Linked DNA regions of Ovis aries. The protein of the gene in region 4 interacts with the protein of the main gene of each other region in a pairwise test. Links are inferred from orthologs where the notes say so. Each region holds a gene or a part of one and is shown on either strand. Other genes may lie near its edges. The genes, in order: NDN, HPCAL4, VSNL1 and FAM131C.

Region 1 (7,416 bases), on a different chromosome or scaffold from region 4:
AAGAAGCTTTTATAATTTTAAAATTGTTGTGCTTTTATATTTGTTTATATAATTGCTTTCCTACTTTTTCTATGTAAGTGTTAACTGTTGTGCTCAAGTATGAAATTTAATTTCATCAATCCATTAAATCTAGGAGGGTGAAATATGAAGATGGAATTTTATTAATCACAATAGCAAAAAGTATGGTCCATGGCCAAAGCTGAGCTGAGATTTAAATAACAAGCTCAAATGTTTTCATTATTAAAAATAACTTAAATGAATGCAATCACTAAACCAACCAAACAGAAACAAATAAGTATACAAATGAATTAAAAAAGAAGAAAATTAGTGGAAATAAACTGCAAGAAATGAGGATTATTTTAAGAAGAATGGGGGCAATCAATCAATTTAAGCCATTCTTACATAATAATAATTGAAAACACTAATATAGCTAATACTACTCTGTAAGGAATATTTAAAAAATAGAAACCTATAAATTAAAGAGAAGAAAATGATGAACAAGAAAAATTGCAGTTGAGATATATCTAAATGAGCTGTAGGAATTATCCTTGTGAAATAAAAGATTAAGGGGTGTTATTGGACTGAGGTCAAATTGGTCCTCCTAAAAGTGATACAAGCATGAAAATCCAAAGATAAAAACAGCTAAGGGAAAAACCCTTTGAAGTCAATCTACTTGAGTAAAGTGAGAAATGAGAAAAGGGTACAAGCAATTTTTAAGGACTCTCCACACTGTTTTCCATAGTGGTTGTACTAGTTTGCATTCCCACCAACAGTGTAGGAGGGTTCCCTTTTCTCCACACCCTCTCCAGCCTTTATTGCTTGCAGATTTTTGGATCGCAGACATTCTGACTGGTGTGAAGTGGTACCTGCCATATGACCCAGCAGTCCCACTGCTGGGCATACACACCAAGGAAACCAGAATTGAAAGAGACACATGTACTCCAATGTTCATCGCAGCATTGTTTATAATAGCCAGGACATGGAAACAACCTAGATGTCCATCAGCAGATGAATGGATAAGAACGCTATGGTACATATACACTATGGAGTATTCTCGGCTGTTAAAAAGAATACATTTGAATCCGTTCTGATGAGATGGATAAAACTGGAGCCGATTATACAGAGTGAAGTAAGCCAGAAAGAAAAAAAACCAATACAGTATACTAACACATATATATGGAATTTAGAAAGATGGCAATGATGACCTTGTATGCAAGACAGCAAAAAAGACATAGATGTGTATAGCCGACTTTTGGACTCAGAGGGAGAGGGAGAGGGTGGGATGATTTGGGAGAATGGCATTGAAACATGTATACTATCATGTAAGAATCGAATCACCAGTCTATGTCCGATGCAGGATACAGCATGCTTGGGGTTGGTGCATGGGGATGACCCAGGGGGATGTTGTGGGGAGGGAGGTGGGAGGGAGGTTCATGTTTGGGTTCGCATGTACACCCATGGTAGATTCATATCAATGTATGGCAAAACCAATACAGTATTGTAAAGTAAAATAAAGTAAAAATAAAAATTAAAAAAAAGAAAAGGGTACAAGCTAATAAAGAGAGGATTCTAGAAATGTCAAAACAATATTGTAATATGAGTTAGGTTTCGAGTGACAATAGCCAGACTCACTGAGGGCATATGTAAGAAGCTGCCAGTTTGAGGAAACCCAGGAATGGCTGAAAGACCACAATGGCTTATACAAGGCATGTTGATTAGCTGCAGGAACATTGGATCCAGAGGTTTCTGTGCCCAATTTTTTTTTTTAAAGGATGCACCTCTGGGACTGTCAACTTTGTTTTTGTTGACAGTCTCAAACAAAACTGCAGATTTGGTTTCTAAATTTGAAAACTGATATACAACCACCAATTGTTACATCTCAAATCAATTGTTATCTGGGAAAATTTTGGGGATCTAGGTTAATTTAAAAAAGAAAAAAAAAGTATCTTGGGAGGGATTTGCATGTGATACTATTCAGTATCTGTGGAAGATGGGGATGTTGTGCTCTAAGAAGGTGAAGTTTCCACAGGAAGAAAAGCGGAGGTTGAAACAGTCATAAAGAAAAGGAAGGTCCTGGAAAAACAGGCGGAAAGACATCCTATGAGTCTATGCTAATATAATCTTTGTGTGAGGGGATTCTAATGAAACAAAATTTACATCAAAATTATCCAATGGAATAGAAAAACCAAAATCAATGACCATTAAAACACTAACAAAGTCATTATTATATTGCCTTCAAGAGAACTTCGATCACACTCGGATTGACAACATTCTGCATTTCTTGTTCAAAACTCTTCCATACGGTAGGAAATCAATGAATTTTTGTTGTTATTCTTCAGAATTCCAATTTGTCCAATTAGTTCTCCTGGTGGCTCAGAGGGTAAACTGTCTGTCTGCACCGCGGGAGACCTGGGTTCAATCCCCTGGAGAAGGAAATGTCAACTCACTCCAATATTTTTGCCTGGAAAAGCCCATGGACATAGGAGCCTGGTAGGCTACGCCCATGGGATCGCAAAGAGTCGGACATGACTAAGCGACTTCTCTTTTTCAGAGTTGACATATTTTCTTGGGCAATCCTGGCTGTTCTCTCAGTTTAAATTCTCACACTGATCTGAAACCTAGTTGACACACCAGCCTAGTTCTTACTCTTGGATTGATCTCTAACTTGATTTTGGATATACCTAATCAAATGCTTCCTAAGAAAGTTCAGTTTCAGCATTTCAGAAGCTTAAATTGCCATCTGTCCCTTAAACTGACTCCTTGTCCAGTGCTCACCCATCTCCCTCCCCTCCTCCTCAAGAACTCCTCCTTAGCCATAACAGGATACCTGGGGAGGGGGTGTGATCACTGAGGCCCATATTCTAGCGGACCCTCTATGCTTACTGGGGGCCTCCTAGCCCCCTCCTGCAGCCCACCAGGAGCCCCGCCCGCCAACTCGACTGCCGGGCCCCAGGCGCGCGGACGCGCAGGCGCATTGGCCCGGCCCGCCGCCGCCCCGCCCTGCCTGGCCTCTGCGGAAGGCGCCGCGCGCAGCAATGCGCACTTCCTCTCCAGGAGTCCGCGGAGGGAAAGCAGACTCGAAGAGCTCTCGGACTCGGCGGCCCTGCTCTTGCGAGACCGAACAGATATGTCCGAACAAAGTAAGGATGTGTGCGACCCCAACTTTGCGGCCGAGGCCTCCAACTCCGAGGTGCACGGCAGCCCCGGCATTACCGGGGGGCCCTCTCCTCCGGGGTCTCAGGCCGCGACACTCACTGAGCCAGAGCGCCCTCCCTTAAGCCCGCCTGATGCCCCTCTGGTCTCGCTGCCTTCCCAGGCTCCAGGCGAAGAGGGAGACCCGAAGGCCCTGCAGCAGGCCGCTGACGAAGGCCGTCCCCACCAGGCCCCGAGCACAAGTCAGCTCAGCCCGGCGCCCCCGGCCCCGGCCCAGCTGGTGCAGAAGGCACACGAGCTCATGTGGTACGTGCTGGTCAAGGACCAGAAGAGGATGATCATCTGGTTCCCAGACATGGTGAAGGATGTCATCGGCAGTTACAAGAAGTGGTGCAGAAGCATCCTTCGGCGCACCAGCCTCATCCTCGCACGCGTGTTCGGGCTGCACCTGAGGCTGACCAGCCTGCACACCATGGAGTTTTCGCTGGTCAAAGCTCTGGAGCCAGAGGAGTTGGACAGGGTCGCTCTGAGCAACCGCATGCCGATGACGGGCCTCCTGCTGATGATCCTGAGCCTCATTTACGTGAAGGGTCGCGGCGCTCGAGAGAGTGCAGTCTGGAACGTGCTGCGCATCTTGGGGCTGAGGCCTTGGAAGAAACACTCCACCTTCGGAGACGTGAGAAAGCTTATCACCGAGGAGTTCGTCCAGCAGAACTACCTGAAGTACCAGCGCGTCCCCCATGTCGAGCCCCCTGAGTACGAGTTCTTCTGGGGCTCCCGTGCCAGCCGCGAAATCACCAAGATGCAGATCATGGAGTTCCTGGCCAGGGTCTTTAAGAAAAACCCCCAGGCCTGGCCTTCCCGCTACAGGGAGGCTCTGGAAGAGGCTAGAGCCCTGCGGGAGGCCCACCCCACTGCCCACTGCCCCCGCAACAGTGTCTCCGAGGACTAGCAAGGTCTGGAGGCAGATGGAAGTTTTCTGCCCCTCACCAGGGTGGAGGAAGGGTGGGAGTGTGGGACGTTAGAGTATTCAGGATCTACAGTGCAGTATTTCACGTGTAACTTTTAAGTTTTCCATACAGTGCTTTTATACCTCTTAATGCAATGTTGTGTTCATTTCAGTAATATTAGTGTATAGGATTCATGCATGGTTGTTTGTAATTAAGCTCAGTTGGTGCTTTCGCTTTTGTGCTACCTTTCTTGAATTTTTTGTACCAGAGACATGCTAAACTTATGAAATACACTGAGGCATTTTCCATATTCTTTTACGTGTGACGGAGGCTGTGTATTGGGGTAAATTGGTCTTGCAGAGTTTGGAAAAACTCCCCAGAAAAGCTGGCCTAACCAAGAGAAAAGTTGACCCCTGTCTTTGTGCTCTGCCTGGGCACGGGAAACATCCCTGTGGAGTTTGGTGATGTGAACTGAAACAGACTCAATGTGGGCACACTTTACTAAACACAGATACAACCTCACCATGAGTAAACTTTAAACATTAAAGATTCTTGTGATACAGTCATTCATGGAAAAAGTGTACTTTATCTTCTTAACAGAATATTATGGGTTTGGAATGGGAATTACAAAGTATACAGATATAACTATTTCATCTAATAGGACGGGGATGTCAGTACTCATCATGACTCATAAATATGTAAAGGGCATAGTTTTATTTTCAGGAAGGAATTCACAAGTTCATATCAAAGCTTTGACAAGTAGAAGTGCAAAAACCAAAACAGGGGTCATAATCACATTATATAGAAATAACAAATGCTGATATTTAGAGTAATTGCCCCTCTTACATTTTCCATATTTTCTAAAAAATAATAGCTGTCTTTTGTGGGCACTAAGAGAGGCCTTGTACTAAACCCTTACATATATTTTCTCTCTTTAATCCTCACAATAGCCTTGTGAAGCAGGCACCGTGGAGGAAATACAGAAATAAAGCAGATAATTAGCTTTCCCTGGATCATAAAGGCTTCCTGGGAGGAGAGGCTTAGTTTTAGGGTTTGGACCCAGACTGAATGAGCCCAGAGGCCGAACTTATACTCACCTGCCTCCAGCTGCCCTCCTGACTCCTGCCTTTTAGATTGTGCCTTTAAAAAGTTCCATGTTAGCATCTTTAGTTTTCATGTTATAGCCTGTACTTGTAGCTCCCTACTCTCAACACACACACACAGCTAAAGATTATTACTAATGAATCCTAAACATTCATCTTTTAGGGGAATTAAGTCATATTCTGTACAAGTCAAGGAACTTCATTTCAGAGAGGTTAATGGATCTAACCAAGTCCTGTTCCTACTTAGCAGTGAACCCAAGATTTGAAGCTTGGTCTTTTCTGAAGGACTGTGCTGATGGAGCTGACTGCCCAGTGGTCTGGAGGAACATACATGGGACACCTTGGAGAGGGATGTGGGGTTGGGGTGGGAAGGTCGCCTATTAGGGTGTCTCCAAAATTGCCATGGGCCACTAAGCAACCACTCAGAAGGTGGGATGGGGTCAGGGAGGGGCAGTGTCTGAGGATAAATCTCATTAGGGAGCTCAAAGCTGCAAGGGGGAGAAAGAGAAATAGGATTTAATAAGACCAAAAATCCTTCAAACATCAGAACATTGAAAAAGATCATTTCGTTAAAGCCAAACCCTTTTCTGGGGAAGATGGAAAATGAGGGGAATGCATAGGTGACATTACCCCCAAAAGAAGTAATCTGAGAGTTGTATTTGTGTGAGAGAATTACTATCTGAATTGGAGACTAGGATTCCCAGCGCTTAAAGAACATTACTTAACAGGCAGGTGCTGGTGCTAAAGTGCTGAAGAAGCCTCCCATGTCCTGAGAGGAAGTTTATCCCTTTTAGTAGATGTCCTGTGAGGTCTCCTGTGGGGAGTAGTGGGCATTTCTGCAATAACTTAGGCAAGTGTGCCCTGGCTTTGATGCCACCTCTTAACTGAGCCAAAGCTAATTCAGACATTTTAAAACTTAAAAAAAAAAATTACCTCCATCTCAACCCAAAACTTCCTGCAGAAACAAAACAAATCTGCCCCTTTAAATGTAAGTCTCCCCAGCCAAGCTGGGGTGCTGGACACTTTGTCTAATGCCCTAATTCAGCTTGAAACAACTGTTTAACTCCTGAGCACTTCTTTCATCAAACCCAGAAGTCACCAGCCACGCAGTCCTTTTACTTCCCAGTGTTTGTATTTGCTTTCTTTTCTGCCAGGAAAGACTGGCAGAACCACCCCAGAGCTTCTCCCAAGCTCCCTGACACAGGCACATCACCGGTGCTGTAGAGGACCAAATCTTGAGCGAAGGACAGGATCATGAGAAATGAGAAGCTGACCCCAGCAAGCTGACCCCATGTGGGCAGAGCTTCTCAGTTCCTATGCAGGCTTGGAGACAGCCAGACCCTGAGAGAGAGGCTTCCCAGATGCAGGACAGAGCTAATTCATGACACCAGGTCCTGCATGGAGAGTAGCTTGGGGCACAGGGAAGGGACATCCAGTATCTCTTTTGGATTTTCATGCTGGGCTCAACTGAAAGTTGAGGGGTTGGTCATGTATTTTCCAGAAGGTTTATCTACAAGGTGCTGCGAGAGCTCTTTCGGAATGGAGTCTGCAGACCCTGGATGTTTCAGCCGAGATGACAGTGCGGTGAAGCCCAGACTGCTGCTGCTGGGAAAGAGTTTCTAATTCCCGGTAACATCTGATGCTTTATCAGTCTGTTTTGCCAACAAGAACCTCACTTCTTTATAGACACCCACAGGTATATTTCCCTATAATTAACTTCATTTAATTAAAGTCATGGAGGGCAAAAAGGACCTGTGTAAACTGAATGTAATTAGCTTCCATTAAAATAGTATGTATGACAAAACCAATACAATATTGTAAAGTAATTAACTGATTAAAATAAATAAATTTATATTTAAAAAAATAATAAAATAAATAATATAAAAATAAAATTATTTTAAAAATAAAGGCTTTACATAAAAAATGTAATGCTACCTCATATAAGGTATTTTGAGAGCAAAATAAATGACTTTTGTAGTATCATTATAAAAAAAGAAAAGATATGTTTTAAATGAACTTCTTATGCAGGTGTGTATTTCCTCTACTTGAAAAGTCATCTATAGCCCCCTCCACTTGAGTTTTACCTGAGCAGCTCAGGAGTATCATTTCCAGTGGGAGAAAAGTCTGGCCTTGAAAGCAGTCATGTTCTCCTAGTATTACCTCCAATAGCATCCTAAACTGTTCATTCAAACTGTTTATAAGTAAGTTTG
Region 2 (8,195 bases), on a different chromosome or scaffold from region 4:
ACATTCATTGAACATCTCTGGGTTCCAGAGTAGGTCTCTGCAGGGCACTTCTGTCCTGCCAGAGAGGGCAGAATGGGAACCTGTGTGGGCAGCTACAAGAGAGAAAATGGGAGTGAGGGAAGATGACTTTTCTCACTGTCCGAGCTGCTCCCAAGCAGACAGGGTTATATTGGGAGAGGATAAGCTCTCTACCATGGAGCAAAATGTCTGGAGAAATGTTTCTGGTCCAGACAAGAGTGTAATGCAAAACTCTTCCCCAAATCAGGCTCCATTCTGGAATTCCAGAGCACCAGGTGAGGGTCTGAGAGCTCTGGAGTCTACGCACCTGTCAGGGTCAACTCTGTGGCCTCAGAGGGTCTACTCATGCCCAGAATGCTAAGTCTAGGCTGCTGACTGTCCACTCTCCAGTCTGGGAGAGGCTGATCATAAGGAAGTGGGCTTTAGTCAGCCCTGAAGGCTGATTGTGGCTGCATCAGCCCAGAAGAGAAGGAAGGATTATGAACAACAATTGAAGTAGGTTCTGACTGAAGTATGTAGTTGTGAGGGGAGTAGTGGGAGGTAACGCTAGACAGTTGACTCGAGACATGAGATTCTAGAGGGTTCTGGAGTTTGAGGGGATCCATGGGTATGGCAACCCTTACCCTATATTGTCAGTTCAGTTCAGTCGCTCAGTCGTGTCCGACTCTTTACAACCCCATGAATCGCAGCACGCCAGGCCTCCCTGTCCATCACCAACTCCCGGAGTTCACTCAGATTCACGTCCATCGAGTCAGTGATGCCATCCAGCCATCTCATCCTCGGTCGTCCCCTTCTCCTCCTGTCCCCAATCCCTCCCAGCATCAGAGTCTTTTCCAGTGAGTCAACTCTTCGCATGAGGCGGCCAAAGTACTGGAGTTTCAGCTTTAGCATCATTCCTTCCAAAGAAATCCCAGGGCTGATCTCTTTCAGAATGGACTGGTTTGATCTCCTTGCAGTCCAAGGGACTCTCAAGAGTCTTACCCTATATTGTACCTCTGGGCAAAACTAGAAAAGACATTCTGTTGAACAGAGGAATCACAAGGAAAGCCCTGGCAAGCAGTGCCTCAGCTGGGTTTCAGCCCCTTTGGCTGTGCCCCTGGCCCTGACTATGCAGTGGCGAGGTGGGGGGGTCGTGGGGAGAGGATGTGGTGTACATTCCAGGAGCACTTGAAAAGAAGGAACAATAGGCCTTAGTAGCAAGTGGGACCCAGGGAAAAGGAAGAGGGGAAACTAAATGCAACTATGGTTGTATTCCCTCCCTGATCCCAGGGAGGGAAGGAAGGATGATGGAGAGAGAAGGACCATCACAGATTGAGGGTGAATCTGGCTGTAGCTGTGCTGAGTCAGAGGCTCTGGTGGTCCACCCCAAGGGTGGATATTTCCTGGGTATCAGATAGTGTGACCTGGAGCCAGCAAAATGGTCCCATTGAGGCCAAGAGGCAGATCAGAGCCATAGATTTTCTGTCTGTAGTGGACAAGAGGTGATTCAGAGAGGGCGGGTGGCAGGATTCAGTCCAGGCAGGTGGCATGGATTCAGCCTGGGTGTAACTCTGAGCCAGTTTTCTCCTCTCTCTGGGTTCCAGTTTTTCACTAACGTAAGGGGATGATCTTAAAAGCTTTGGCCTGCTGACCTAAGAGTGGTAGAAGGAATGAAGAGAGATAAAGCCTCCTTCATAGTCCCTGGTGGGCCAGGAATCAAATGGGGACTGAGAACAGGTATGGCCAGGAGACAGAAAATGGTGGGAAGGCAGCACAGAGCGGGGGAGAGAAAAGGGGCAGAAGGTGAGAGCCACATAGACTCCATCACACACACACACACACACACACACACACACACACACACACACACACACACGTGTGTGTGCCTTCTGGCAGATTTGCAGTCTTATACCCTGACGTGCTCCCACCCACTCCTACCGCTTACACAGACACTTGGGCACATCTCACAGGAGACAGAGGGAGAGGCTCTGCCTCCCCCACCAGACACCACTACCTCTGTGCTCTCGAACTTTCTTGACCGTACCTGAGCCTTCAGTGTGCTTTGGAGGAGGGGGCAGCTGAGGATGCAGCCCGCCTCCTTCTGCCCATGTGTGTTTCAGTTGTGCTTTTGATTCCGGTCCCAGGACAGCTGTGTGGGACCCCCTGGTTCCAAGTTCCTGAAGATGGCGCACCTCCCCCTCCCTGGCTTCCCCTGGGAGCATGTAGGATTCATCATCCTCTGGGGGTGGGAGGCAGGCAAGGATGTTGCTGCCTCCACTGCTCCTTGATCTTCTTCATGGCCCTGGGGAGGGTCTGAGATCCAGAGGTATTCTGTAACTCAGGACTCCCCAACCTCTGGGATCTGATGCCTGATGGTCTGAGGTGGAGCTGACATAGTAATGATAGAAATGAAGTGCACAATAAATGCAATGTGCTTGAATCATCCTGAAACCATCCCCCCACCCTGTGGTCTGTGGAAAAATTGTCTTCCATGAAACAGGTCCTAGGTGCCAAAAAGGCTGGAGATCGTTGCTTGAAGTCATGAAGCAAGGAGAGAGGGCAGGGAACTGACCAAACTCAGACCTGGCTGTCTAGGGTATTCCCAGCAGTAAGGATTAGAAGCCACACAGGCATGCACTGGGCTGTGGAAGTGGAATTCCTTCTGCCAGCCTGCGGGTGTCCTTTTCCAGAGTGTCTTCATGACAGGCTACCCTGCAGCTGGGGTCTGGCACTCTTCCAAAGAGACTCTGGGTGGGTCAGATTCACCTCCCAGGTCATGTCCTGGGGAAGTCAGGCTCTAGCAGGACATTCCCCCCATGGAGGTCTGATAAGAATGTCAACTCAGCCTTCAGGGCCTGCCAGGGGCCTCACTCCAGCCAGGCTTCCTGGGGAGAGTTTGTACCTCCCTCTGCAAGAACTTCCTCAGGCACAAGATACTTGAGGGGCTCATGGTCCCACTGGGGCCTGACTCTTCACCCTCCCCAAACCTGCGTCTCAGAAATACCACCTCTATCCTTTCTATCCATTCAGCCCCGGTTCTGAGCATTGGCTGCAGTCCTCTGTCACTCTCAGCCCCGCATGCATTCAGTCCCCAGGTCCTGCCAGTGCCTCCTCCTAGCATCTCTCAGTCCGTCCACATCCCTCTACCACCCCACCCTGTTGTCATCACCTCCCACCTGAACGCTGCAGCAGAGCTGCCCCTCCTCTCCCGACCCAGGTCATCTCGTACACTGTAGCCAAGGAAAAATCTGAAAAACACGTTCCTTCTCTCTGGGTCCCCAGCACCATATTGTAAACAACCTATAAGTATTTGTGTAATGAATTTGGTCTTTCCAGCCTTTGCTTTAAAACCACAGGAGCTTCTGTGCCCCACGCCAGACTCCTTGGTGTGGATTTAAGGTGCTTTACAATCAGCCTCTTTGATCGAGTTATGAGTTAGTGAAGTCTGGCTCGTGTTGACTTTATCCCTATCATCAGCACAGGGCCTGGCTCATGGTCAGCCTCAATAAATGCTCAGGGAATGAATGAACTAATGAAAAGGAGAATACAGTCAGGGTCATCAGGGTTACCAGCTAGGATTTCTGTTTGTACAGAGGAAGAAGGGAGAGAAGCTTCTTGCTCAGGTGGCCTGGAAGGTCTTGAGGAAGGACTTGGGAGACAGCGCCAGGGGAACACATGAGGAACCTGCCAGGTAGGAGAGGAGCTTGTAGCGGTGGGTAGAGGCTGAGTGCAGAGAGCTCTCAAGAGCAAGGAGAGGATTACGACTATTCTATGGGTGTAGGGAGCTATGGAAGGTGTAAAGAGGAGAGGAGAGAATGAAGACTGGGATTTGCAAACTGGTCAGTGAGAATGAGGAGAGTTGAGCCCTGGGAGGCTAGAGACCCTGGTTGCCAGGGGAGGAAAACTGCTGTGAGCAGAGAGGAGAGGCCTGCTTGGAGAGGAGGCCCTGTAATCGGGATGTAATAAGGGGAAAGCCCCCACTTTGTGTTGGGGGAAAGAGGGGAGCAGAGGAGAGGCAGGAGCTTCTATGGGAAGGAGTGTGGTGGAATGACAGAACCCATCTGTAGGAGGTGGGGTGTCCACCATGGAGGTGAGAAGAGGACCCCTCCCCCCGCCCCGCTGTGGAAGGATGGGGTCCTGGCTGTGGGAATGTGGAGTTTGTTAGAGGAAGGGGCTGTGGTGGAGAAAGGGAACCCCGTCCTAGAGAGACTTGGCGGAAGGCTGCTGAGGTGACGGCCTTGCCCTGGACCAAAATGAGGGAGCCCTCTGTCCTCCAGGCCCTGCCATGGGGAAGACTAACAGCAAGCTGGCCCCAGAGGTGCTGGAAGATCTGGTTCAAAACACCGAGTTCAGTGAGCAGGAGCTGAAGCAGTGGTACAAGGGCTTCCTGAAGGACTGCCCCAGCGGCATCCTCAACCTGGAGGAGTTCCAGCAGCTCTACATCAAGGTAGGCGGAGCCCAGCACTCCGGGGGCGGGCTGGAAGACAGGGGGCGGGGCAAGACACTCTAGGGGGCGGGCCAGACGAGCGGGGGCGGGGCCAGACACTCTGGAGGGCGGGCCGGATGAGCGGGGGCGGGGCCAGGCAGCCAAGGGGTGGGCCGCGAGCGCGGAGCTGTCGCTGCGCCCCAGCCCCGCGTGTCCCCGCCTCAGTTCTTCCCCTACGGTGACGCCTCCAAGTTCGCGCAGCACGCTTTCCGCACCTTCGACAAGAACGGCGACGGCACCATCGACTTCCGGGAGTTCATTTGCGCCCTTTCGGTCACCTCCCGCGGTAGCTTCGAGCAGAAACTCAATTGGGCCTTTGAAATGTACGACCTGGACGGTGACGGGCGCATCACGCGTCTCGAGATGCTGGAGATCATTGAGGTGGGTTGGGAAGACACGCTTCCTGTCTTCGCTGCGAGGGCCGTTCTCCAGCCACCCTCCCCGCTCAGGCCTCGAGAGCCCACCACTCCCCTCCTCCCTCCTGCCTCCTCCCAGGATCCAGCGGCTAGCCTTGATTGGGTGTTCAGAGTAGGACCGGTCTTGTGCTAAGTACTTTACCCGACAAGTCTAGGCGGTACTGTTAGAAACCCCATTTTACGGTTGAGGAAATGTATCAGGTGACTGGTTCTTGATCCCAAATCTAAGGAGTCTGACTCCAGAGTCCCAAATTCTTAACTCAGTGTTCTTTCAACAAATGTATATTCTTTCAACAAGAGTCCAAGTTCTTAACTCATATTCTTTCAACAGAGACTGCCACCTGCCAGTCTCTGTTTAAAATTCTTGCTTTCATAGGACATTCCTTCTGGCAAGAAAATTAAACAAAACAAAGCCTATGCTATGTCAGGCAGTAAGTATTACAAAGAAGATAAGCAAAGCAAAGTAAGAGGAGAGGGCATTGAAGGAAAAGTGATTTTGTGTAAGGTGAGATGTGAGGAGTAACCTGGAAGAAGTAAGGGAGCTAACTGCATAGGTGTCAGGGGGAGGATCTCTGCATGTTGCTGCTGCTGCTGCTGCTGCTGCTGCTGCTGCTGCTGCTGCTAAGTCGCTTCAGTTGTGTCCAACTCTGTGTGACCCCATATGGGGAAGAATAAATGCAAAGACCCCACTAGACTGTGTTTCCAGTGTTCAAGGAGTGGCCAGGAGCCCAGGGTGGTGGGACAGAAGTAAGCAAGGGGATAGTGGTAGGAAGAAGTCAGATAGGTAGTCAGGAGACTGTTTCTTAGCATCATCATTTGGGATAGAGACTTGACTTTCTTCTAAGTGAGATGCGAAGCCCTTAAGGGCTCCCTCTATTCTCTGTGTGGAGAACAGACTGAGCGGGTGGGAGGTCAGCAAAAGTAGGGAGAGACCAGTTGCGAGGCTTCCACAGCAGTCCGGTCACAGGGGGATGGAGGCGACAGGTGTGGAGCAATGGAAGTAGCAGGCAGCAGCTCGTTATTGGGCCTGTTCAGAATTAGGGCTGACAAGATTTGCTGTAAGATTAGACATGGGTGTGAGAAGAGGAGGGTCGAGAATGGTGTCGAGGCTTTTGGTCTGAACATCTAGAAGAATGAATTTGCTGTTCACTGAGACAGGGCCCGCTGGGGCAGAAGCAGGTTGGAGGTGAAGAGCTGGGTAGTAGACACATCTGGTGTGAGATGCTGAGTAAATAGCCAGTCTTAATGACTGTACATCACCTTCCAGTATCCTCACACGACCCCTTGTTCTCCATGCCACGCCCGGGTCCCTTCATTCACCTCCAGTCCCCTGTCCCTGTGGTGAGTGTTCACACCTCCCTCCTTGCCCCAACAGGCTATTTACAAGATGGTGGGCACTGTGATCATGATGCGCATGAACCAGGATGGGCTCACGCCCCAGCAGCGTGTGGACAAGATCTTCAAGAAGATGGATCAAGATAAGGACGACCAGATTACACTGGAGGAGTTCAAGGAGGCGGCCAAGAGTGACCCATCTATTGTGCTGCTGCTGCAGTGCGACATGCAGAAGTAGAGGCTGGTGAGGGGCAGGGCCCCTGGCCAGGAAGGGCGTGGCCACCTCCCAACCCAGTGACCTCTCTGGCTGGCCCTTCCTTAGGGGGAGGGGGACTCCAGCCTCACTCTCTGGCCCACCCACCCCTCTGCCCAAGCCCTTGCTCTCCTCAGTCAAGATCCTTAAGGGACCACCTCACCCTGGAATAGAGAAGATCCTCAGGTATTTAATGGCCTAGCCTCAGCCCCAGTCTTGGCCCAGAACCAACATCTGCTGGGCATAGGGGAGCTGGTTTTTGCCCCAAGGTACAGGGTGAAGGGAGGAGGGCTGGGTTCTGCTTTGAAATTCTGTTCTGGGATTGTGCTTTATAGGATGTGGTCCTACAGACCCCAGTTAAAGGGCCAAATTGGGTCTGTCCTTCACTGAGGACCCAGAACCCTTAAGGGTGGTCTGTGCCCTGCCCCCACAAATCTACCTGGCCCCTCTGGCCCCAGCCTTTGGAGTGTTCACTCAGTACTTTCTTCAACTAACATTTATTGAGCACCTATTCAAGGCCAGGCACCCCTAGGTGCTAAGGCTATGGTAGTTTACAAGACACATTCTGGCCCTCTGGCAGCTCACAGGGTAGTGGTCAGGGTCTCAGACAGGGACACTGAGCTCAGGTGAGGAGAGGATACAGTAAGGCTGGTTAGTTTGAGAGGAACAGTTAAATCTTTCTGCTCAGCTCCACACAGAGCTGCAGAAGGGATGAAACGGAAAGTATTTGGAAATCTAGGAACCACAGTGGGGATTTTAAGAAAAATTGAAATTGAGGTAATACTTATTTTTTAATACCCTTTAAAAGGACTAAACTCATTTTATTAGTTGAGGATATTAAAACATACTTTATATGACTTGGTTTCTTGTAAAACGATTAAATGAATATAGAAAGTGCTAATTTTCAGGGGGTAAAAAAGAGCTGAGAAAAAAAAAAAAGAGGAAAATATCACCCAACTTACCAGATGACACGTTTTTTTATCAGGCTAAATCCTTAACTGTCACTGTCAGCAGCTTCTGCTGCTTCCTTTTAAATGATCTTTTTTTCAATTCAGTGAGCAACTCTCTACTGTGCACTTAATGCTGATTAGGAGCTGACTTCAGTAACAGAGAACATAAGGCTTGCCAAGAGTGAGACAAGTGTAGTTCCCACATCTGGATTTGGTCTAGTTTAAGGATGGGCTCTGTTCTTTCACTGCTCCAGAAGCAGAAGGAGCTAGAAGAAGACCAGCCGGCCACTGTTTAGGCTGCCAGGCTGCGTTTATGGATTAAATGCCTAAAAATGTGCCGGGCATGCTCCATCTGAAAGGCTTTTTCTAACTCCCAATCCTGAATCTGCCAGGTAGTTTGTCATCTTCCAAGTATACTGGCTTTGCTTTTCAGTGTCTGCTTTCCAGTTTTGGATCAGTGAGCTCTACAGCTGCATGCTTTGACTGCCGGAAAATTAATCTTGCTTCATCAAGTCTTTCACTTTACTTTCTCCTGTGCTTATAATCAGAAATTAGCTTTGATGTGCAGTGACAGTGGATTTCCTCTTGAACTGCTGGTGAAAACAGTCTAGTTCACAGGTGCTGTCAACCCAGTGTGGGAGCAGGGAATGATTGCCGGGTTGGGGAGTACAAGAGTATACCTTCAGGAAAGGGATGCAGCGTACCTCTTACTTCTGAGTCCTCCCTCTCTGCAGATGGAGACTCTTGGGGAAGCTGAC
Region 3 (8,200 bases), on a different chromosome or scaffold from region 4:
TAAATTAATTTACTAAGTATTAAATCAGTTGTGAACACCTGAAAATCGTCCTTAGTTTTATTTTGTGAGGCGAAAGTAAAGCTACTTCAGAAAAGAATGTTATTTGCAACTGAGGAAGGGAAAAATGGCTTCTCAGGGGTTTCCAGGCAAGTGAGGGTTTCACCAGGTCCTTCAGACAAAAAATAAACAATCCTCTCCTTAAAGAACCTTTCTCCCTCCCTTCCCCCAGCTCCGATTTACACAGCCCCTCCCCAAACCTCCTGGCTTCTCAGGTGGCGCTAATGGTAAAGAATTCGCCTGCTAATCCAGGAGACTTCAGAGATGGGGGTTCGATCCCCGGGTCGGGGATATCCCCTGGAGGAGGGCAGGGCAACACACTCCAGCATTCTTGCCTAGAGAATCCCCATGGGCAGAGAAACCTGGCGGGCTACAGTCCATGGGGTCGCAAAGAGTCCCACAAGACTGAAGCGACTTAGCACGCAGCACTTCCCAAACCTCCAGGATGTGAAAGCTGACACCGCGATCCGCAGTGTCAGGGACTTGGCTTCAGGTAATAGGGCAACTGCTATGGCTGATGGCATTCTCCGCTCATCATGGCCCAGCATCCCAGTCCCTCTGTCCCAGAGCCGCGCATCTCTGTTCTCTTGTGATCACAAATGTAAATGACCGAAGAAGGAAGGAAACACAGGGCTCCCGCGTTTAGTGTTTTTACCACACTCCTTTTTTGAGAGTTAACTCTACCATCCTATAGAAATGAATTGCTTTTTGTAATTTAAATGATCATATTCCTTCGATGTTTTCAGAATCATCTTTCCTATGTGACTACATGTGACTTAGTGTTACATATATAAAAGGCATCACACAAAACATTTTAACAACAAACACTAAAAAGATAAAGGTGCACAATAACTGAGGATTAAAAAATATATCGCCAAACAACGCCTCAGTGCAAACAACCAACAAAATCTGCTTGCCCCATGAGACAAAGCAGCTTCACAAAAGCGCACGCTTCTAAATCAAATCTCCCCTACAAGAGAACACGGTTTAAAGTCTCAGTGTTCACTTTACCCGACACACAAGTTGCCAGTAAGTCATCTAAAACCTAACACAGCCACGAAAGAGACCTCCAGGGGAAATGAATAGGTACATCTCTCCGAAGAAATGGCATCATGACCCCTTCGGCTGATGCAGATTGCAGTGCGGAGACTGCTCTCGAGAGAGAAATCAGAGAGCACAGCGTAAAATGCTTGAGTAGAGAAATGGACAAAAGACGAGGAATAACTTTGAAAGCTTTTGGATGTTGTGTCCCTGGCCAACAAAAGCGACTTATCTGGAAGTGACTTTTGCCCCCACCCCATCCGGAGAAAGAATCGACCGGGCGAGCCTCGCTGCGCAGTGCGCATTGCGTCCCCGGAGCGCAGGGCTGGCGCCCGCCAGATCCACAACCTGCTCGGCTGCCGCAGCGCGCCGGGGCAGCGCTCCCTGCTCCGCGCTAATCCACGCTCCGGGTTTCCGCGGTCTCCGCCGCCGCGCGGAAGAGCCCCGCGGGGAGGGCGCTACGGCAAGGCTAGTTCAGGGAGTCCCGGGAGCGCTCCTCTGCTCTGTGCCGCCTTTCCAGGGCTTCCCGCCCAGCGGAGCGCGTTCCTGAGTTCTGGGCTGGCCAGGTTGGCTTTGAGCTTGAGGCAGCGGCTTAGGTGTCACCAGCTGGGGCCCTCACCCACCACTGGCCTTCCAAAACCAGAGACTTGAGTTTCTCTTGATCTTTGCTTAAGTAGCCTCAAGGTCTTCCAAGCTGGGCGCCCCCTACTAGCAGTCAGCAGTAGGCACCCTCCTAGCAATGGAGATTTGTCTATCTCCAGCTCTTTTGCCCAAAGAGATACTCTTAGTGTCCTCAGATCAGAAAGGTTAACTGCAGGTTAAAAAAAAAAAAAAAAAAAAAAGTTGCTGTACCGCCAAGTGAATCAGCTTCCTGGATGTGATAAGGTGTTTGAAGGCACTTTGCAAGTTGTAAAATTCTCTGCTTAAAAAGAAAGTCCATCAACACTGGGTAACAAAGAGTATCTTTGTTACCCCATGGACTGTAGCCCGCCAGGCTTCTCTGTCCATGGAATCTTGCCAGCAGGAGTACTGCAATGGGTTGCCATTTCCTCCTCCCGGGGATCTTCCCCACCCAGGGATCACACCTGCGTCTGTTGCAACGGCAGGTGGGTTCTTTACTACTGAGCCATTTAGGAAGCCCCCATCTTCACTGCCCCTGCAGAATGTCCCTCTTTTGAAAACTCCCATCTGAATGAAAACCTCAAGAGGGATTTTGTTCGCTGCCTTTACCACCAAGGCATTGAAAAATGCCTCAAGTCAGTGGGCAGGTGGTCAATGAATAATTGTTGAATAAGCAAAAGTACCAGAGAAGGCAATGGCAACCCACTCCTGTACTTTTGCTTGGAAAATCCCATGGAGGGAGGAGCCTGGTAGGCTGCAATCCATGGGGTCTCTAGGAGTCGGACACAATTGAGCAACTTCACTTTCACTTTTCACTTTCATGCATTGGAAAAGGAAATGGCAATCCACTCCAGTATTATCGCCTAGAGAATCCCAGGGACAGGGGAGCCTGGTGGGCTGCCATCTATGGGGTTGCACAGAGTTGGACACGACTGAAGCGACTTAGTAGCAGCAGCAACAGCAGCAAGCAAAAGTACAAACAACACACTTTAGGAAATTAATTGGGTTGAGAACATTTGAGACTTCACCTTGCATGTCTGGTAGAGAAACGACCAAACATTTACTGGGCACTACTCCTTGCCAAGCCTTCTAGGCTTTGGCTAGGACAGTCAGGATCCGGGGAGGGCTGGCAAATGTACGTGTCCTTCAAAGACACAAAAGGGGGCTTTATAAAATGGCTTAGTCCAATCCCTCAACCCTGGATTCCCATGAGGGCTCACTGACTGCCCTTCACTGCCCACTACAACCCCACCCAAATCATATTCAATAAAATGTATTTAGTGCACAAAGAAGGCACTTATTGGTAAATGCTGGTTGATGATTAGCATGATTGGCCCAAGGTCACCCAGGATCAGGATGAGAGCTTCAGCAGCCCCTCCCTTCAACACACAGCTTCTCCAAGGCCATTGGGAACCACGACCATCTGAGTAGAAGGCTTTTAGAATGCCTGGCTCCCAGTGCTCTCAGTATAAGACCCGCGGAAGAAATGGCCCACACAAAGTGCCAACCATAAGGGTTTTCTTCAGAGTGAGCCATGGAGACAAGCTCACAGCTTGCTGGGCACGTTTCCTTCGGAGCAAGAGATTTCTGCAGTTTTCTCCTTCACCTTACAAGCCTGACAAAGAGTGGGCCGGGGGCCCTCCAGGCCTGAGGGTGGCGGGAAGCAGGCTCCACGTGTCCCACTTCTGGCCTCAGCCTTCACCACCAGACTTGGCTGGTTAAACGCGGGGGCGTGGTGAGGCCAACTCGCTCAGCCAGTCCAGGTGAAGGGCTGCGCCAGTGGCCAGGCTCCCTTTTCCTATCTACTTTCCTTCCGAGTTTCTGCTAAAATCTGGAGACACGGAATCCACTCGCGGCAACTCCGAGCCTCTCCAACTGAGCATGCGCCAATGCCTGGCTGCTTTTGGTCACCGGCCCCAGCTCCCTCTGAGCTGGGCTGCGGAGCCAGAGGAGGAGGGAGGAGGGAGGCGGGAGGAGGGGAAAGGGGAGGGGGTGCCTGGAGAGGCGGCGGCTCGCGCGCCTGCGCATCCTGCTCCAGGGACCCTAGGTTTTCTATGGGATTCCCAATCTGCAGCAGAGACCTACCGGAGCGTGTTGCGGCGGCGACTGGGCTTGCAAGGCGCGATCCAGGAGGGATTTAAGCAGCCCAGAGCTCCACTGGAAAAAAAAAAAAGAGAGAGCAAGAGAACCATACCCAGAGACGGCTTAACCGTTCATCCGAATTAAATATATATACATACATTTATTTATAGAGAACTGTTGAGTTTTATCATTTTCGTTAAGTGACCGTGAGCAGCGCTATAACTGTAAGTGGAAAATACAATCTTCGTTGCATTTGTGCATGTGTAGTGCAGCCAATTGTCTGGGAGACGCTTTGGTTATTGTCACCTACTTGGCTTTGCATAGATACGTCTAAATGCATGGTGTGACAATAGCTTTGGTTAATGCTAAACGTATACTGTTAGCCCATGGGGGACCTTTTGGAATAATGAGGGGTGGGGGGAGGGGGAGTGTTTACAGGCGGCGTGTTTGGGGAATTGCCTTAGGCTAGATTTAAGACAGGTGAAACTGAGGTGCTTTTTAAGTGTGTCTATATACAGGCAGATTTCCTTACACAGATTTAAGTAGCTAATGGACCGATTGTGAAGTTTTCCGGTTGCTGATAAAACTATTGAGCGGTTGCAGTCAAGTACCAACCTGTCATCCGTGGGGCTGGTGCACCATCTTTCTCACCGTGGAAGAGGAGCGAACGTGTTTGTTAAGTAAAACTGAGTGGACGAGATGATGTGGAGACCAAGATTGGTTTCCAAAGTGGGATGTTTAGAACCACAGGGCTAGGCGCAAAATCAGCTCATTTCTCTGTTAGTGTTTAGAAATGAGAAGATAATTTTTCGGTTTTGATTTTCCGTCACGATGGTGAATGGGCAGAAAAAGGAAAGATGTTCAACCACCCGGTCAGCTCTGTCTATTTTGAACAGAGTATGAGACTCAGAGCCTTTGAATGGGGACTGACAGATCCAAACTAGTTACCTGCCTTTGCATGCTGTATTTGCATTCCAGAATGCAGGGTTGAAAAAATAAAAAACCAAATGTTTTACCTTTGATAGTGTTTCTTTAAAGGAGAACAGGTCGTTCTGTGTTTTGAGTTAAAATGGATTGTTCCTTGCCCAGATACTGAAGAAGGGTCTTTGCAAGGTCAAACCCTCTGTGGAAATCAGGGGGTCTGGGGAACTGGGGAAGGGTGCAGGAAATGGTGATGCTCTCTGTGGGTGCTCAGCACTGCAAGGAGATACCAGAGTGAGAATACATTTTTCTAGAGTTGCCCTCCTGTCCATATTTTGGAGATCAAAATGAAGTGGAAATGCTAGTGGGTGTAGAAAAAAAGTGTATACTATCTGTCACATCTCACTTGGAGACAAGAGGACCCAGGGAAACTGTATTTCTACATATTGAATTTTTCAATTTAAAGGAATTTCACATTGAAAAAATTAAAAATGAAACTCTTGAGAAGACACATTTTTTTCCTTACTACCGTTTAAACTGGCTATTGTTGTCTTTGGTGGAGGTGGCCGGGTTGGGGGCAGGGGGTGCGCAGAGGGGGTGGTTGTGGTATAGAGGGGTCCTGCATCATTGAACACCCCACTCTTGAGCACAGGCTTATTAAGCTTCCGTGTTTAACCCCAGAAATTGCTGCTCTGAAGCAGGCTGGCAGAATGGCATGAGGCAGGTAGACAGGAGAGAGCATGGCCAGTGTGCTGAATTTCCACAGAAAAAGCAGATCCAGTTTCTATGATGAAATGAAATACATTTTACTCCAAATAGGACAAGTCATTTTAGACTCTTGACCCTTTAGTCAGTTCAACTATTTGGAACCTTTCAAAGGAATCTACGTTTTTTTTTAAAGTGGATGAAATTTGAAGTAGAAAATTCTAGAATATCCTCTCCTTGGAAACCTAAAGTGTAAATCATACTGCCTTCTCGGTCCCTCCTTTCTTTACTCCAGGGCAGAAGGGCCAGTCGTTTGTCCTAACTGAGCCATACTCCTTGTCATCAGTGAAAGTTGGAACAGCTCTCTGAACGGTGCAGGTGCAACACTGCATTGATAAATGAGTGGAGGAGAAAGAAGGGGGAAACCTGGTGTGAAAGCTCATAGATGTTTTCTCCCAGATACCCTGGTTCATAAGGCTGAGTTACAGAGAATCGCATCGGGCAGAGACCTTCGAAAACATCTAGTCCAAATCCCTTGTTTTATAGATGAGAAAATTGAGGCCCAGGGCCATGAAGCCAGGGGAAAGTCAATTAACTTTGAGTCTATGGAATAAAGAATTAAAGAGTAATGTTGAGGGAAAATGTTCCTTTCTCTCTGCACTTATAGCATCCTCAGTGACATCGCTGAGGTCTTAAAAAAATAATTGCCTGCTCCCAGCACATCTTTCAAAAGAGTCCCGCAGGTTCCTTTTTACACTGCTGCACCTCTCTTTGCCTTTCTTTTTTCGTAAGGCCTCTATCTCTTTTTTCTGTTGCCCCTCACTTCTAATATACCCACTTCATTAGATGTTTAGTCTGGCCTTCCTGGCATCTCAGTCAGTTCCTTTGGAATCCTTCGAGTGTTTGGAGAGAACTGACAAACCAATTGGAATCTTCAGCTCCCGTTTGAAAACTGTCCAGGCCCATCGCCAACCCCTCTCTGCTCTGTTCCCCTAGAACGTTTCAGGGAATCCAGCCTTCTGAGACACTGCAGGCATCTCCCCTTCTGGTCTACCTGTCTCACCTCCTTCAGCTCTGCTGCGGCTGCAGGCACTGGGACCTAGCAGAGTGAGGAAGTTGCAGTGTCAACACACAGCAGGCGCTGCCAGCTCACCTCTGGCTCCTAGAAGGCAGAACCCAAATCCAAGATGCCTAGCTGTCTCCAGCCTTCATGGAAATCCACCAGGCAAAGCCACCTGCAGAGAGAGGGACTGAAGGCTGGGCGGGAAGACTGAAGGAAGACACCTGACTGTTCCTTCCTGAAGAAGGCGCTATAAAGGAGAGCAGAGCAGCTTTTTAAAGCCTTCAGCGCTTTTAAAGCGCAGTCTTGCTGGACAGGGACTGCAAAGCAGGCAATAATAATACCTGCCTAATTTGCCCTCTTCTTTCCTTCTTTTTAAATCTCTTTTCCACTCATTTGCTTTCTCTATTTCTCCCTCATATTCTCCCTTCCATACAAATTTCTTGAGTATCTGTGCCATGAAGCTCTAGGCCTTTTAAAGATAATTCAGTCACCCCTGTCCCTTCTCCCCAGGCACTCAGGAACTATCACAAATGTCCCCTTTGGGGAAATGCCAGGAATTCTTACCTGAAAAAGCTGAGAAGTTGGGGGAGGCTTGAGAAAGACAAAGTCTGAGACTCTTCCTCATTTGAGAGATAAGCTAAATACACTTGGCAAGTGTTGAAGCTCAGAAAGCAAAGTAGTGTGTTTCTCAACACATTTCCCAATTAACAGTTTAACTTAACCATTTCCCTCATGGTAAACTTTTGCTGAGTTGGGATGAGCTCTGTCTTGGAGAGAGTCTGTCCCTCACACATCCTCGTGGGTCAACTGTCACCTGGCCTTGCTATTCTGTTCTGAAAACAGGCATGTCCAAGCTATTCTATACACCACATACCTTGTACAGAGGTCAGAGACTTGTAGCTACTAAAGATGCTTTGCTTTGCTGTGGTGTGAATCTCATTCTGTAAAAAGACAGCATGATTAGAAATGTCCTGAGCAAGCTATAGATTTTTCTATGTCTTTTTTTCAAGCAAACATCCAGTTCTCTTTATTGGGATGTAAATAAATCTCGTAGCACTACAAGTCATATGAGAGGTTTACAGTGGTCCTTAGTACTCTATGTAGGAGGGTTTTAAATAAGACAGCTATCGATAATTAAAAGCGGATTAGTTCAATCAAGTTACAGTGTCATCCTTCAGGTTAAAGTGCTCTGACATTAACTACTGTGGCAGCAAACAGGATCCTGAGAAGGAATCCCAGGGCCAATCGTCTTGCCTCTTAACTTCGAAACAAGAACGAACACAGTTCGTGTAATAACCGTTCTCTCCTCAAGCCCTGCCCACCCCCTTGGCCTGTGACATTCTCTCCTGAGGAGAGATGTCAGGATTTGATGAGATTCTGTCTCAACTGGGACAAAGAAAAAAGAGTAATATGGAAAACATTCTAATATCGGGTTACTAACAAATTAAAGTAAACAGATTACCTGATGACTCTGTTTAGTTGCTGATTCATGCCCGACTCTTTGTGACCCTGTGGACTGTACCCACCAGGACCCTCTGTCCATGGGATTCTGTGGGCAAGAATACTGGAGTGGGTAGGTTTTCTATTTGGGTTGCATGTATATATGGATTCCAAACCTTGCTGAGGAGCTCCCTGTGGAATTTCATAGAATGACAGTATAATATCAATATCAAATGCATGGTTTCCTAGTTTGCAAGAGCAAACTATGTT
Region 4 (7,926 bases):
TCCACCAGGAGCAGCGGGGCAGGCCACGCGGAGGGGGTGCTGGCTGGACCCCCCCAAACCATGTTGTGAGAGCACAGTCGGCACTCTCCTCTGGCTCCTCCCCCACCAGGAGCCCCCCTCCCCCATGCACGGCTGGGGGCGGGGGGGGGGGGTGGAAGGTCACCAGGCAGATGGGCTCTGGGCTGAGATGGAAAAGGACAGCCTGGCCCCAGGGAAGGACAGCCACACGTCTCGGCGCTCTCGGGGAATCGTCCGCTTCAGCAGAATTCCAAGGACTGGGAAGGTGAATGTGGGTGTGCTGGGGGGGGGGGGGCAGCCCACCCCCCTGAGGCCCAGTCTCAGCCGAGGGCCGGGGCTGGGCTGACAGGCAGCAGGCCTGTGTTCCAGTCCTCACTCGGACGTCAGCTGGCTGTGTGACCTTGGGCAGGCCCCTGCCCCTCTCTGAGTGCCCATCTGGACAAGGAGAGCAGCAGGCAGTGGAGAGCTGACCAGCGTGAATGCTGAGGCCCGGGCTGGCCAGAGCCCCACCCTGGACTGTCTCTGGCTGGGGAGGAAGTGACCTGGGGTGGCACACTGCCCAGCGTCCCCATGGGCCTCTGTCTCAGGCTGAAGGGGTGCCGTGGGCTCCCCAGGCACCCTCAGCTCCCCGTGAGCCTGGCACCCCCACTACCCCCAGAGCGGCCGGGCCGCCAGCGGGGAGCCTCCGTGGCTGTGACCCAGCATCCTGTGTCCGGGTGAGTCACAGTGCTCCCTCCAGCCGGAGCCAGGTGCCCAGTGCTGGGAGGAAGAGAAAGGACCCCGGCTCCCCTCCCTGGGCTGCAGGCGGACGGGCGAGGTCAGAGCTCCCCTCTAGAGCAGGCTTGGTGGGGAGGGGCTGGGGGTTTGAGGCGGGCAGGGCATGGCGGCCTGGAGCAGCCCAGTCCGAGGGCTGCGCTGCGCTCCAGGACCAGCGTGTCTGTCATGGGCATGCTGGCACCTCCTAGGCGCTTTGCATGCGGCCGCTGAACGGAGTGTCCTCAGCATTCCCGCTGCGTGAGGAAATGCCGCACACCTGCGTTCACCATCACTGCTATTTTTAGCTCTAAGCACCTACTACGGCTCAGTCACTTTGCACAGATTATCTCACGGATCCTTACAGCTATCCCGTGAGAGGCTCAGAGAAGGGAAGCAACTTGTTCCAGGTTGCACAGCGGGTGTGAGCTGAGCCCACGTTCTCACCAGCGGTGGACACCCCTGGCCGGGGTCTCTCCCCACCAGGACTTTTCTCCGGAGAAGGCGCCAGGCCTGAGGAAAGAAGGGGCAGCAGCGCCCACCCCAGCAGCCCACCCCACACCGGCAGCCACCAGGCCTGGATCCTGCCCGGCTGGAGGCCCCAAGCCCCACCACACGGCCACCCCAGCCGCCTTCATCCGTCAGCACCCTGCTGGGCGGGCACCAGGGAACCTGGCTTGCTTACTTGTAAAAGGGGCACCGTGCCATCCAGCCTGCCTGGCACACACGGAGGTGTCAGGATGGAGCGAGGCGGAAGGAGGCGAAAGTGAGCGCTCGGTGCCTGAGGGCTGTGCTGGGCCGCTGGCTGGGGCGCTGGGGTGTCTGAGCACGACGGCGTGTGAATGCAGGTGTGTGTGAATGCGAGTGCGTGTGAATGCGGGTGTGAATGCGACTGCGTGTGAATGCGGGTGTGAATGCGAGTGCGTGTGAATGCGGGTGTGTGTGAATGCGAGTGCGTGTGAATGCGGGTGTGTGTGAATGTGTGTGTGAATGCGGGTGCGTGTGAATGTGTGTGTGAATGCGGGTGCGTGTGAATGTGAGTGTGTGTGAATGGGGTGCGTGTGAATGTGCGTGTGAATGCGGGTGTGAATGCGAGTGTGTGTGAATGCGACTGCGCGTGAATGCGAGTGTGTGTGAATGCGGGTGTGTGTGAATGCGAGTGTGTGTGAATGCGAGTGTGTGTGAATGCGGGTGTGTGTGAATGTGTGTGTGAATGCGGGTGTGTGTGAATGCGAGTGTGTGTGAATGCGGGTGTGTGTGAATGCGAGTGTGTGTGAATGTGGGTGTGTGCGGTGGTGAGCGTGTGGGTGAAGCATATGTTCACACGTGCAACTGTGCGTACGTGCACTCACGGGTGGGCATGTGAGAGGGTGAGTGTGAGTGATTAGAGGGGCCCCGGTCACCCGCCCTCAGGCGCCCGAGGGGACCGCAGGCCCTGACCCTGACCTACCTACCGGCTCACCGTCCCCACCGGCTACATCCCCGGCCCTGGCCCATCGACCCCCAGTGGGGGGCTGACGGGCTCGCAGGAGCCCTGGGCAAGGCCCGTGACCCCTCCGTTTCTTCCCTGCAAAGCGGTTCACCGCCGGCCGTGCGCTGCGCCCGGCTGGCCGGATGCTGGAGCCCCCCCGCCCCCGCCGCCCGTCCCTGCCCTTCGCCCCGCGCCGCGGGGTCCCCGCCGCCAGCTTCGCCTCCGCGCTCAGCGCCGCCCCCGCCGCGCGGCCACAGGTGCGCGGGCCGCCGGGGCTCGGCCCCCCCGCGCTGACCGCGGCGAGGCGGTGCCAGGCTAGCGGGCGGCGCGAGCCGGACGCCCGGGCGGCGGCGGGAGCCGCGGGCCCGAGCCCTCCCCGCTCGTCCGCGCCGGCGCCGCGCGTGGGCCCCGCGCCCGCGGAGACATGAGCGCCCGGCGGCCCGGCCCCGTGGCCGCGTGATGGGCTCCTGCGTGTCGCGAGGTGAGGGGGCCCGGGCCGTGCCGGGGGAAGGGGCCCCGCGCCGGGTCGCGCGCAGTCCCTCGGCCGCTCCGAGGAGCCTGGGCGGGGGCGGGGGGACCCACCCGCCCTTCCCGGCGGCTGCACCCCACCGGCGCCCTGGGAGACGCGGGGCCCCGCCTGCATCTGCACCCCAGCAGGCGGCGGGAGCCGGGTCTCTCCCTTCCCGGCGGCCGCACACCCCTGCCTGGGGCGGGGGACACGGAGCGTCTGGCGCCCCCGGCCTCTCCGGAGTGACTCGGGGCACTCGCGGCGCAAGCCGACCCTCGTTCCCACGACCCCCCCCCCCCGCCCGAGACACAGGGCCCACCGCTGTCCGCGTACCCCACTCCCTGTCTTCAGACTGAACACCCGCGGCAGGCGTTAGCGGGAGGAACAGGGTCTAAAGAAGACCCCGGCCCCTCCTGCCGGCGCCTCACCCCGCCAGCCTGGTGCGGGGACAGGCGGGGACAGGCGGCCGGCCCGGGAAGCCGCGGCCTGTGTCTCCGCCCGGCTCTCTGCTGCCTGCTGGTGCCTGACCCCTGGCTGTCCCCGGGGTGGAGCAGGGAGCCCCGGGAGCCGCTCTGGGGGGCGGTGGGGTGGGCAGGGAAGGGGTGGGCAGGTGTTGGAGGCTGCGCCGGGTCCCTTCACCCCGCAGCGGGAGCAGCAGGGCTGAGGTGAGGGCGGACAGACCCTGGCTCCCACTCTGCGGTATGAAGCCAAACCCACTGACCCCAGGCACAGCCTTGGGGGGCCACCGCCGCATCCTGCACCCCAGCCCTTCCTCAGGTGTGGAGGGGTAACCAGGCCTGGGTAGGGGCTAGGCAGGCTCCAGGGGACCCGCCCTGGGAGATGAGGGTTGGGGGGGGGGGTAAAGGGCTCTGCCTGGGGGCTCTGCTCACCAGGCCCCCAGGGTTCAGGTAAGTGGCTCAGGATGTCTCAGGAGGGTGGGATCGTGCGTGGGGGCTGGGCTGTGTGAGGTTCTTTCATTCATTCATGAAGCTGACGTCAGCCTGACCCCTACTGTGTGCCAGCCACTGTGTACACACTGCGTGCCTAGAGCCGGTGAGCCCAGCATAGGGTCTGCTCTGGGCCTCCAGCCTGGCCAGAGGGGAAGGTACTATGTAGAGTGGAGAGTACCTAAGTTTCTTTAGAGCCAGCAGGCTCTTGGTGTGTCTGCAGAAGCCCGGAAGGCTGTGCAGGCCCCTGGTATTGGGGTCCCGGGGTCCCCTTTCCTTTGGCCCTCCTGCGCACCCGGCCGTCCTGTGCCAGGCGCCAGAGGCCCGGCCCCAGGAGACTTGCCCGTTAGCCACAGACCAGGGCGGTGCTGTCAGGGCTGGGGCAGGGGCTCGGGTCCTCTGACGCCCCCGTAGCTGGTGGACCCTCTGCCGTGCCCTCTGGGGGCACCCGGAGGTCTGCGCCCTTCCTGCTGTGGTTTGGGCTCCTCGTTGTATATCCTGACCTTGTGCCCTCCTGACGGGGTCTGCCCACTCCCAGTGCCAACATGCCCGCAGGCAAGTTGGATGCAGGTACAGGAAGCGTGAGCTCCCCTTGAGCCGAGGACACCCATCGTCCCATTGCTCTGGCTCGGGGGGTCTGAACCCCTGAGTGGAGGCCACCTGCCCCCCTAGCTGTCCCTGCTCCTCCCAGAGTGCGCGCGGCTCACCAGGGGCTGGTGGGAACGTTCCAGGCTCCACTCGCCAGTCTGGGGTCTGTACTAGCACAGCCCGCATTTTACAGGCAGGGAAACAGTCTGGGGCTGCGTGGTTAAGAAAGAGCAGAAGCGAGCCTTGGACGCGGTCATGCTGGCTTCGGCACCCGTGCCCTTGTTCTCTGTGCCACACAGCCGGCCGTTGGACCCAGGGCTGGCCTGGCCTGCTCCTTCCAGCCCCCGGCCTCTGGATTCCAAGAGCCTCTGAGTCTCCACGTGCTGAGTCACTCAGTCGTGTCTGACTCTGTGCAACCCTATGGGCTGTAGCCCTCCAGGCTCCTCTGTCCACGGGATTCTCCAGGCACGAACACTGGAGTGAGCAGCCATGCCCTCCTCCAACCCAGGAATTGAACCTGCGTCTCTTAATGTCTCCTGCATTGGCAGGCGGGCTCTTTACCACTGGCGCCACCTGGGACGCCCGGGAGCCTCCACAGCAGCCCCCGCACTCCACGTGCCAAACTTGCAGCCCGAAGCCGGGCGAAGCCGCATCCTTCTGCTGCCCACAGCCACCCAGGGCCTGCAGGCGACTGCAGCCGCCCAGCCAAAGCCCAGGCTTCGGGCCACAGCTGGGAGAGCCACCCCACCCAGCCCTGGGCAGCAGTTAGCCCCCTCGAGCCAGCCCTGAGAGGGTAGGAGTGCGAACTCTGGAGCCGGCCGGCCTGCTCTGCCCCCGCGGCAAGTTACTTAACCCTGTGCATGTATCTCAGTGTTCTCATCTCTAAAATGGGAATGGCACTTCCATGGATGTCTTAGGGGTACTGGAAGTGAAAGTGATAGTCGCTCCGTCGTGTCCAGCTCTTTGCGACCTCATGGACTGTAGCCCGCCAGGCTCTCCAGTCTATGGAATTCTCCAGGCAAGAACACTGGAGTGGGTTGCCATTCCCTTCTCCAGTGACCTTCCCAACCCAGGGATCGAACCCAGGTCTCCTGCATTACAGGAGGCTTCTTTACCAGCTGAACCACCAGGGATACTAGGAGGGGATTAAATGACTTCCTATAGAGCACTCAGACCACTACCTGGCATGTAGCAAGCCCTTTAAGTGTTAGCTGGCACTTTAGTTTTTAATTTTTGTTAGTATCCTTCTGTGCAGAAGCTAATCCAGACCCTCTTGGCTGGGAAAGGGGAAGCTACAGGGGCTTTGAGCACCATCCAGCCTTGCAGGAAAAGACACACTGAGGGGTTGAGGACGTGGGGAAAGTGATTGGGCCCAGATGGAGGCACCAAATGCCTTTCCTCAGAGCTGCTTCGTGTTGTCTTGAGTGCTTATCCTGAGCTGGCTGAGGCATCACTCTCCTGACCTTGTTAGACCCCATTCAACCCCGGAAGGGGGGCGTAGGGCTCAGAGATGGGTAGGGTCTTGGCTGAGGTCACACAGGCAGGACCCAGAGAGGTAGGATATGAATCCAGGACTGCCTGATCTTGGAGCCTGAGCACAGAACGCCTGCCTGTTGCTTTCTCGGGACCCCACTGGTGCCGGGGTCCAGCCCCGGTGGATCCAGGGTGATTTGAAGGTGGGGTCGGAGTCGGCGTCCTTGGAAAAAACTTATTTAATTACAGATAGAGAGGGATTAGAAAATTAGCAGAGAAAAAGAGGCCGAATAACTTGGTTTATATGGAATACCAATCACCACCTACGTAGGCCGCAGGCGTCTTCCCGTTCTCCCGAAGGAGAGGAGGCACTGAGGCCCACCTGGTCTGATCTTAGAAGCCCAGACAAAATTAGCAGGCTTTGTGGGTACCCATACACCAGATGGAAATTCGGCCGGAAAATAGTAGGAGAGAAAAAGAGGCTGAATAACTCGGTTTACGTGGGATACCAATAAAATTCAAGACAAGGAATTTGCACCATCTACATTGGGCCACCGGTGCCACTTGAATATCGGAAGGTGCCCCTCCTTGGGCTCCTTCTCGCGTGGGCTTGAAAACCGGGGCAAATGAGTAGACTTGGCGAGCACCCACGCTCCAGATGGGAATTTAGCCAGAAAAACGGGGAGCAGAAAAGAACAACATGGGGGAATCAGTCTTTCCAGGAACTGATCCAATTTCTTTATTTTGGGGTTTGCTTATATACCTTTTGTTACACATAGGGATGAATACAGATTCACACAGGGGTCAGCAGTCCTGACCTTTATCAAAATCAGGTGCTTCACATAAATGTATAAAAAAAAGTCTGAGGGGTTTTACATCATCTTCTGGCCATGAGACCTGCAGATGTTTTATGACCCTTTCTTTCTGATAACCAAAAAACTTATTTTTTCCAAGGGTGTTTTTTCTTAAACCAGGCACCACCCTCCAAATAAAGTTGCATTCCTATAGGGTGAGGGTGTAGCGAGTTATAATCAAGAAAGGAATTTATTTAACCCAAGGTTAACATGCTTAATCTTAAAGGTTAATACTTATTTCTCCTATATGCTTAAAGGTTAATACTTATTTCTCCTATATGCTGGTTATATTCATTATAAGGGTAGGGAATATGGAGATTTAGCAGCAAACATCAGCCCAACATATGAAAATCCTTTCACCAATGTTCCCCTTAAGATCTATTTAGTCTTAAGATAGTGATAAAGTTACATTTTTACACAGCAAGGACACAGTGATTTATAACAAAGTACAGTGATCTATTACAAAAGAGAAAATTCACTAGCTCAAAAAGTCTAGTATTGCTAACATCAAACTACTATATTTCCTTTTCTATATTCCAAATACATTGATTAACATATTCCCAGGTGCCTAAGGATATGGAGGCCTGGAGGCAATCATTGACTCAACAATGAGAAAAGCCCTATGCTAATTAAGACTCTCAAAATACTCCAAAACTCTCTGTGCTGTTTATGGTTGAGAGGTAGTAAACAGTCATGAGGCAGGAGTATGGATAATCCTGTCACACAAGCTAGTCTGCCAGCATAGAGGTTTGACCTGAGACACCCTTATCCCACCCAGAGCAGGGAATTAGCAGCAATTATTGGGACAACAAATGAAAAACCCTTCACCAATATAATTCCTAACCAACCCACTATACTGACAATTTCCCAAAAGAATTTGCCTTTAGTAAGTCTAAAACATCTCGTGCCTCTCAGGTTGGGAGGCTGTAAACAATCACATGTGGCCGGACGAACCTATACAGGTGGGCTAGATAACCTTCAGAGGAGTCCCTAAGCTGAAACACTCTTGTCACGCCCAGGAATTTTTATTGCCTTGGAGCTGCACGTTTACTCCTTCTCCGAGAGAAACGGTTATGGGGAACAGCCCCCCATAAAGTCAGAGGTGTAGGTGAGAGCATAAAACAGACTCTGGCTGTGGGGTTAGATGCTCGGGAACAGGGGTTTCCTGAGGCTTGATCACGCCTTTGCGTGTGCCAAGCCTCCTTCCTCATGACCTTTGCCGTGGGTGGAGTTCCTCACGCTGGCCCCCAGCACACTAGGAGAGGGGTGCTGAGCATGCGGCCCGCGCTTGAGGCAGTCAACCCTGAAGACACG

The links.
Region 1: the proteins of FAM131C (region 4) and NDN interact in a two-hybrid assay, tested with the Homo sapiens proteins (2 studies listed by BioGRID and IntAct). The link is inferred for Ovis aries from reciprocal best matches to the Homo sapiens genes FAM131C and NDN.
Region 2: the proteins of FAM131C (region 4) and HPCAL4 interact in binary tests that used the Homo sapiens proteins (3 or more experiments, as listed by UniProt). The two-hybrid records come from large-scale screens. The link is inferred for Ovis aries from reciprocal best matches to the Homo sapiens genes FAM131C and HPCAL4.
Region 3: the proteins of FAM131C (region 4) and VSNL1 interact in binary tests that used the Homo sapiens proteins (3 or more experiments, as listed by UniProt). The two-hybrid records come from large-scale screens. The link is inferred for Ovis aries from reciprocal best matches to the Homo sapiens genes FAM131C and VSNL1.

What each region holds. Positions count from the first base shown.
Region 1 is NC_056071.1:617,983-625,398, reverse strand, and holds NDN (necdin), read left to right. Parts: upstream 1-3,039; 5' UTR 3,040-3,127; coding exon 3,128-4,105; 3' UTR 4,106-4,669; downstream 4,670-7,416. UniProt on the Homo sapiens protein: Growth suppressor that facilitates the entry of the cell into cell cycle arrest.
Region 2 is NC_056054.1:14,319,171-14,327,365, reverse strand, and holds the start of HPCAL4 (hippocalcin-like protein 4), read left to right. Parts: upstream 1-3,574; 5' UTR 3,575-3,672; coding exon 3,673-3,688; intron 3,689-4,274; coding exon 4,275-4,444; intron 4,445-4,648; coding exon 4,649-4,864; intron 4,865-6,274; coding exon 6,275-6,472; 3' UTR 6,473-8,195. UniProt on the Homo sapiens protein: May be involved in the calcium-dependent regulation of rhodopsin phosphorylation.
Region 3 is NC_056056.1:25,654,458-25,662,657, forward strand, and holds the start of VSNL1 (visinin-like protein 1), read left to right. Parts: upstream 1-3,784; 5' UTR 3,785-4,025; intron 4,026-8,200.
Region 4 is NC_056055.1:249,707,993-249,715,918, forward strand, and holds the start of FAM131C (protein FAM131C), read left to right. Parts: upstream 1-2,585; 5' UTR 2,586-2,701; coding exon 2,702-2,723; intron 2,724-7,926.